2 linked regions of the Arabidopsis thaliana genome follow. The protein of the gene in region 1 interacts with the protein of each later gene in a pairwise test. Each region holds a gene or a part of one and is shown on either strand. Other genes may lie near its edges.

The links.
Region 2: the proteins of ACBP5 (region 1) and ckl3 interact in a two-hybrid assay, tested with the Arabidopsis thaliana proteins (one large-scale study listed by BioGRID).

What each region holds. Positions count from the first base shown.
Region 1 is NC_003076.8:9,773,746-9,777,499, forward strand, and holds the start of ACBP5 (acyl-CoA binding protein 5), read left to right. Parts: upstream 1-2,108; 5' UTR 2,109-2,355; coding exon 2,356-2,517; intron 2,518-2,761; coding exon 2,762-2,832; intron 2,833-3,200; coding exon 3,201-3,264; intron 3,265-3,351; coding exon 3,352-3,423; intron 3,424-3,541; coding exon 3,542-3,733; intron 3,734-3,754. Other genes in the region: CYCH;1 (cyclin H;1), read left to right, coding at 292-350, 489-573, 659-934. UniProt on the Arabidopsis thaliana protein: Binds medium- and long-chain acyl-CoA esters with very high affinity. Can interact in vitro with oleoyl-CoA, barely with palmitoyl-CoA, but not with arachidonyl-CoA. May function as an intracellular carrier of acyl-CoA esters.
Region 2 is NC_003075.7:14,249,207-14,252,960, forward strand, and holds the start of ckl3 (casein kinase I-like 3), read left to right. Parts: upstream 1-1,928; 5' UTR 1,929-2,144; coding exon 2,145-2,220; intron 2,221-2,316; coding exon 2,317-2,357; intron 2,358-2,559; coding exon 2,560-2,629; intron 2,630-2,718; coding exon 2,719-2,867; intron 2,868-2,970; coding exon 2,971-3,066; intron 3,067-3,143; coding exon 3,144-3,214; intron 3,215-3,324; coding exon 3,325-3,386; intron 3,387-3,461; coding exon 3,462-3,525; intron 3,526-3,651; coding exon 3,652-3,736; intron 3,737-3,754. Other genes in the region: AT4G28870 (mutator transposase MUDRA protein), read left to right, coding at 1,215-1,514. UniProt on the Arabidopsis thaliana protein: Protein kinase involved in blue light responses (e.g. hypocotyl elongation and flowering) by phosphorylating CRY2 to reduce its stability.

The DNA.
Region 1 (3,754 bases):
TAATATCCATCAAAGAATCTGGTTAAACTCATTGTTTGGGATATTTCAGTAAAGCTTTAAATATGCTACTCAAGACATAAATTTAGGATGAAAGTTGGTGCTTTGTTTTCTCTTTGACTGATATTTAAGTGAAATTAATGAATGTTTATGATATAGTAGTATAGCTTATCGATATATACTCACCTTGTTCCTTCTTTCAGGATTTTTCGTTTTTCTTTAGCGTATATGTAACAAAAGAAGTATCACAAATTGTTGTACTGTCTCTCAACTCTTGAACGTGTGCCCTTGTAGTTGGCATTGGCGTCGTTACGTATTGCAAATGGGGTTCTTGGAGTGATTGACTTTGATAGGTTATTTCTCTTATTCTATATCCATCCCGATTATTTACCCTTTTAATCTTTCCATGATATTAATCTCGTGGTCTTGAATTTCTGTATATGCAAAGCTTTTTACTGGTTGTATTTTCAACTAAACTGCATTTGGTGCAGGTACCTAGAGAACATTGTTTCTCAACCGAACTCTGAGCACACGACTTCAGAGCTTACAAAGTTACTTGATAACATCGAATATTTGGTATTTACTAACTTCCATAATTATCTTAACAATGAAACTTGCATATCTAAAAGGAAGTTTTACTAGATGCTCTCTCTTATCTCAGGTAAAGAACTACAAGTGCCCAAGTGAAAAGGACATGAAGCATATCAACCGGAAGCTAAAATCTTGTCTAGGACATAGTTCTTCACATGACGAGTACACTAACAACCTCTCTTCTACTAATTCTTTTAACCACTATATATATTTCATAAGCTTTGCTTCTGCAATTGACTCCCTTCTCTATTTATCTTCATCAGGAGTAAGAAACGGGAGAAGAGATCAAAACACAAGTCCCATAGGAGCTCCAATGATACACCAAACGGGGCACCGCCACCCATAGGTTGAGTTTCTCGTACTGCCATTAGCAATTCTTCCTTTGCACTTTGGTTTAGTTTTAATCTTATTGAATGAGAAATTCGTCTTTTATAGTTTCTTCCCCGTTGTTGTTCTTACTAGTAAATTTGAGCAGATTATGTATAACAATGATATTGGCCATAAGTTTTGTTTATTCTGAAGATGTTAATGAATTTATAACAAAACTTCCATTTATTTTAAGTTTTGGTGTACATAACAATCGTCAAAAATGGTTTGTTTGCGATAATGATCAACTTTTTACATGATCAAAAGTTTTTCCAGACATTTTGATACTTTCTAGTTACTACCACATCTGTTCTTACACAGAAACAAATGGATATGACTAGTGTAGCGGTAACTATCAAATCCTAATAATAACAATGAAAATTTGTATTAAATAACCAAAAACCATCGAAAATAAAATTTGGATTGTGAATGAAACTTGTAAAGATGCTTGATTGGTTGTGCTAAATGTCTTTTACAGCCATAATATATTTGTTAAAGACTAAATTGTTGCCAATTATGTTATAGTTTTTTTCTTTAACTTAGAGCCCCAAAAAAAATCTTTTTGTTTTGACTGTAAATCTTTAATTTTCTACATCCTATTTTGTGTTGTAGATTTTTTTTTTTTTGTAGATTTTTTTTTTTTTTTCTCTCCTCTAACTTTTTGTCACGATTATTTTCAACTAATAATCTAAAATGTAGTTATATGAATAACAGATAAAGTATTTTATACATTTAGACAAATAATTTATAAATTTATATAGATTCCATTTACCTAGATGTGCAGAATTCTTTTTGTGTTTTTATTATAAAATTGTTATTAAATAATTTATATATATTCCATCTACCTAGATGTGCATAATTCAATTTGTGTTTTTATTTTATAATTGCTATTAAATAATTTTAGTAATTATGATATACAATTTTCTCATTTTGAAAAAAGGTAATTTATAAATATAAAATTCAAATATTTCTTAATCATAATTTTTAGTTACAACTAAAATATTTATTGCCAAAATCCTATATTTTTCAAATCTACAAAACCAAGAGGTTACCGTCAAAATTCTACAGTTAGAGCTTATACACTTATTGCCAATATTATACATAAAATATTTTACCTTATGCAAATGCCTATGCTTTTATGGGTCATAGACGGACCTGGCTACTGTGTAACTAATCACCCACATAATTTATCAGTCAAACATAACAAATTCTTTTTGTGCCAAAAAGTCAAAAACGTTAGAAACTGGATTTTGGAAGTTGATGCATGCAAATAGCAACTTGTCGTGCCGCGCTATATAAACGCTGCATCAAGTTTTCGTAATTAACTAAAACCAAATTAGTATTAATCCGAAAACTTGAAACTGTGGCTTCCTCCTCAAATCTCCGATCAACGGAAACAAAATGGCTCACATGGTGAGAGCGAGCTCTGGCCTTTCTTACCCGGAGAGATTCTACGCCGCCGCATCGTACGTCGGCCTCGACGGATCTCAATCGTCGGTCAAACAACTCAGCTCCAAATTCTCCAACGATACCTCTTTGCTTCTCTACACGTTGCACCAGCAGGTTCGTCAATTCGATTTCAATTGAATTCCATAGGGATCTGTTGATTTCTCTTCTTTCGCAATTTGCTACAGTAGATGTTGGTACGATCTCGCTCCGTACATTAGACAATGGAACTGTGCTTATACTTGGGATCATTGCTATGCGAAAACTGGTTTATTTTGTCACTGAGAGAGAATTTATTCAATCATCTTTGTGATAAAGATGTTTACTAATTTTGAAATCTTCTGCCTTGACATGTTAACAGGCTACTCTAGGACCTTGTAGTATTCCAAAACCGAGTGCGTGGAATCCAGTAGAGCAAAGCAAATGGAAAAGGTTGGTTTCACTTTTGTGTCTGTCAATACTATTCTACATTTGGAGAGGCTTTTAAGTATCATCATCAAATGTGTAAGTAGCTTTTTTGAGTACAAGTATCAAGATGTCTCATGAATTAGGGCTACAGCAACAAGTATCGTAGATTTTAGACTTGTATTTCCATCCTAGGGGAATACATGAAATAGGAGCTACCTTGGTTTTAGCATGCAAGAAAATTACTGGTAACATGTCAGGGAATGTCATCTTAGAGAATGCCATTATGGAAAGACAGATCGAGATCGCAGACCTCATAATGGCATTCTCTAAGATGACTTTCCCTGAGCAAAGTCATCTGTGTAAGCTTCCTAAGAAAAGTACATGTTTACTAGTTGGCAGGGGCTTGGAACCATGCCCTCCATTGAGGCAATGCGTCTATTTGTGAAAATCTTGGAGGTAATATCAACAGAGGAGTTTATTCTCATTTCTCTTCATTTGTTAATCATAGGCTAATTTCTTCCTATATTGCTCACTTTTCAAAAGGAAGCAGATCCTGGTTGGTATCCAAGGACATCTAACTCTGTTCTTGACCCTGCTGTACATGTCCAAATCAATGTGAGTTTTTCATCGCCTATACGTATGATCAAATTTCAGTTTTTGTATGTAAGTATTGCTACTAATTAATATAACAATGCCTCATCCGAGAAGTATCTTACTTTTTTACCTGTTGCAGAGCACAAAGGCTGAGCCTAGTTTTGAGAGTGGAGCTTCATTTGGTGAGACAAAGACGATTACTTCTGAGGATGGGCGCTTGACAGAAACGCAAGATAAAGATGTAGTTTTGGAAGACCCAGATACTGTTTCTGTGTATAATCAGTGGACTGCACCACGAACATCAGGTCAGCCACCAAAAGCCCGATATCAGGTAATATTTAATTTGACTCTC
Region 2 (3,754 bases), on another chromosome or scaffold:
AGTTGGAGTATATCATTCATCTGATCTGCTGAGCAAGATTATGTGTGCCTTTGGGTCTAAACTGTGATTTCTGCAGTGAAAAGCTCTAGACTGAGGTTGAAGATCTGAATGGAGTTTTTCCATGAACAGCTTACTGTTTGACAAAAGGCATGAAGATTATGTTTGCTTTCCTTCAAGATTCTCACAAATGACTGACTTCAACCTTTGTATAAAATCTTGCAACCGGGCGTGTAATTTGGTTCTTGTGATTCATTCTCCCAAGTTTTCTTCTATAAAACTTTGTTCGTATTTCTGTACGTAGTTCCCTGTGTTGGGGCATAACCTGGGTTTGCTGTGTCATCAACATTGTTTGCAGAAAATCAAGAGCAAAGCATGAGCAGCTTCAGCAGAGATGCCTTCAAAGGCTTGAGTCAAGAGTTGCTTGTGGCAGGGACATGTCACCATCAAGCTAATGTGCAGCTGACGAGAACGTAAAAGGATAAGCTATGGCTAGCTTCTGGAATGCTCCGAGAAACACTTCCCCCTTTTTTTTTCTCTGAATTTCCTATTCAGTTTAATGGTATTCTGTGTTTGATTTTTCTTACTCGATTTTGTGCATTGAAAAAAATTATATCAAAAAGCTTGACTTGATCCAAACATGCATTTTCAATTGCTATTATTAAAAAAAAAAAACGTATAAAATTGTAGTCTCAATATTGAAATACAAACACCTAGAATTGATCGATTTGGTAGAGAACTAGTTAGTGGATTAAATTTGGGTTGGCTGATTTTCGAGCCATAAACTATTTCGATTCTCAGCTTTCACACCCGGACTTTTGGGCCTTTAAATTTCCACCATCAACTTTCATATTCCCAAAATTACATCATCTATTTTTGGATTCATGCTTAAACATACATTTCCAATTGAACCATTCATTTAACCGGGATTAACCACAAATCCGCGTTTACTGTACCGCGATTGCGATTAACCCAACTAATACCCAGACCCGTTAAGAAAACGACGTCGTTTTCATTTCGTTTAACTCATCAAAAAGAGAAAGAAAACGACGTCGTTTTCATTCTTCTTCTTTAACTCTCAAATCGATTTAGTCGTTCTTCTTTAATCTCGACACTGTGAAATTAGGGTTCTTGAGAGAGAAAGACAAAAGGGGATTTGGGGTTTTCTTCTTCGGTTCGAATTTTTGGGTCTCGATTTGGGTTTCGAATAGGGAGAAATGAAGAATTGGTGGGAGGAAAGATTGATTTACCAAAGCGATCCAGATGACCCCGATTTCGAACCTCCAGAGAGTGACATTGAAGCCGACGATGGAAGTGATAGTGGTGATAGCGGAGTCGAGGAGGACGAAGCCACCAGAATCGAGGGAGAGGACGTCGGGATAGATGGAGACAGAGCTTCTGATGGAGAGGAAAATAGAGAAGACGATGGTGACATAGCGTCTGATGGAGACGTCAATCTAGAAGACGATGGAGACAGAGATGAAAGTCAAAAGAAGAGGACTACCAAATCGATTTGAGAGTTAAAGAAGAAGAATGAAAACGACGTCGTTTTCTTAACGGGTCTGGGTATTAGTCGGGTTAATCACAATCGCGGTACAGTAAACGCGGATTTGTGGTTAATCCCGGTTAAATGAATGGTTCAATTGAAAATGTATGTTTAATCATGAATTCGAAAGTAGATGATGTAATTTTGAGGAATATGAAAATTGATGGTGGAAATTTAAGGGCCCAAAAATCCGGGAGTGAAAACTAAGAATCGAAATAGTTTATGACTCGAAAATCAGCCAACCCATTAAATTTTCGAACCTTCATCATTTTGCAGACCCCAAAAACGGAAATCATCAAATCATCCACCGTGCCAGCGTGACATTACAAAATCACGTAAATACCCTCGTGTTTGTTTATAAGGTAAAAAAAGATTGGCGGACCCAAAATGGTGCAGTAGTTAGGTGTACAAATTTTTTTTTGAAGGATCACTACTACGGCTCAAACAAGCCTGGGTCCATGTCACTACCACCGATGTCAGTCAAACAAAAATAATAATATATGTTTTTAAGTTCCTCTAATTTCAATCTTCTAAACAACAACCCTAAATCCTTATCTCTATCCTTGCGCTTGATCCAGATTCGGTTCTGATTGGAGCTGCCATGGAACGCATCATCGGCGGCAAGTACAAGCTCGGACGGAAGATCGGCGGTGGTTCGTTCGGAGAGATTTTTCTAGGTTTTGTGTTCTCCTCTGTTCTTGTCCCTTTGGTTTTCCGAGTTTGCTTTTTTATTTGAAATTGACGCTCTTCTCTTCTGTTTGTTGTTTTCGCAGCTACGCACGTCGATACCTTCGAGATCGTAGCTGTTAAGATCGTAAGTCCCAGCTCAATTTGCCTTGAGACGAATTGAATCCATCCAATCTGGAGATTTGATTTGGATCTGCTATGTCTCTTAATTGATTTTGTTTGAATTGCTTTACTCTAAAATTGAGCAAGGTTTTAAACTCGGTGCTTTTTAGCTGCAATATATTCTTCAAGCTAACACTTGTTTTTAATTCAATCATTTTCTCTTGCAGGAGAACAGTAAAACAAAGCATCCTCAACTTCTCTATGAAGCTAAGCTATATAGAATTCTTGAAGGAGGAAGTATGATTCTCTTTCCTCTCTTTTCTCAGTTGTTGGACATTGGAGGGATTCATTAGCAGTACAATACTAATTTTTATGTTATGTGTCAGGTGGAATTCCGCGCATAAAATGGTTTGGAGTTGATGGAACAGAGAATGCTTTAGTGATGGATTTGCTCGGTCCAAGTCTCGAAGATCTTTTCGTCTACTGTGGGAGGAAATTCTCACCAAAGACAGTCTTGATGTTGGCTGATCAAATGGTATGGCATGACTTTCAACTATTCATTAGGCTATTTATAATATCTGTTGACTTATACATTGATTATCTAATGTGCTTCCGATTTTCTTATCCCGCTGTTACAGCTAACAAGAATAGAATTTGTACATTCGAAAGGATATCTGCATAGAGATATTAAACCCGATAACTTCCTCATGGGCCTAGGTCGGAAAGCAAATCAGGTATATTTCTGCAACTTCTTATCTTCATCAGATGCCATAAGTAGAGTATGGTATGATTGATAAGTCTCATTTTTCAGGTTTATCTAATTGACTTTGGACTTGCCAAAAGATATCGGGATGCCAACACCAACCGCCACATCCCTTACAGGTATTGTGGCCTTGGTTCAATATACAGATTGTAAATGATCTATCTGTTTTTAAGTTTTACGGTCACGTTAATCATTATACAACTTATTTCCTTTATTCGGCTATATTCAGGGAAAACAAGAATTTAACAGGAACTGCACGATATGCAAGTTGCAATACACATCTTGGAATTGGTAAGAAATGCTGGCATTCTTTATCCTTATGTAAAAGTAAATCGCTTTTGCTCATATTTTGGGTTCTCTTCACAGAGCAAAGTCGACGGGATGATCTAGAATCGCTGGGATATGTGCTTCTGTATTTCCTAAGAGGAAGGTGTGTTGTCTTTTTGAAAGAAACTAGTTAACATTATGTTATTTCGCAGGGTATTTCTATTCCTTGTTTTTAGAGATTTACTTAACTGTTTTTTGTGTTCCTCATTTCATGAACGTCCTTTTCTAGTCTTCCATGGCAGGGTCTTAAGGCTGTTGACAAGAAGCAAAAGTATGATAAAATCTGTGAGAAGAAGATATCAACTCCCATTGAGGTATGTTTCCCTATTGTG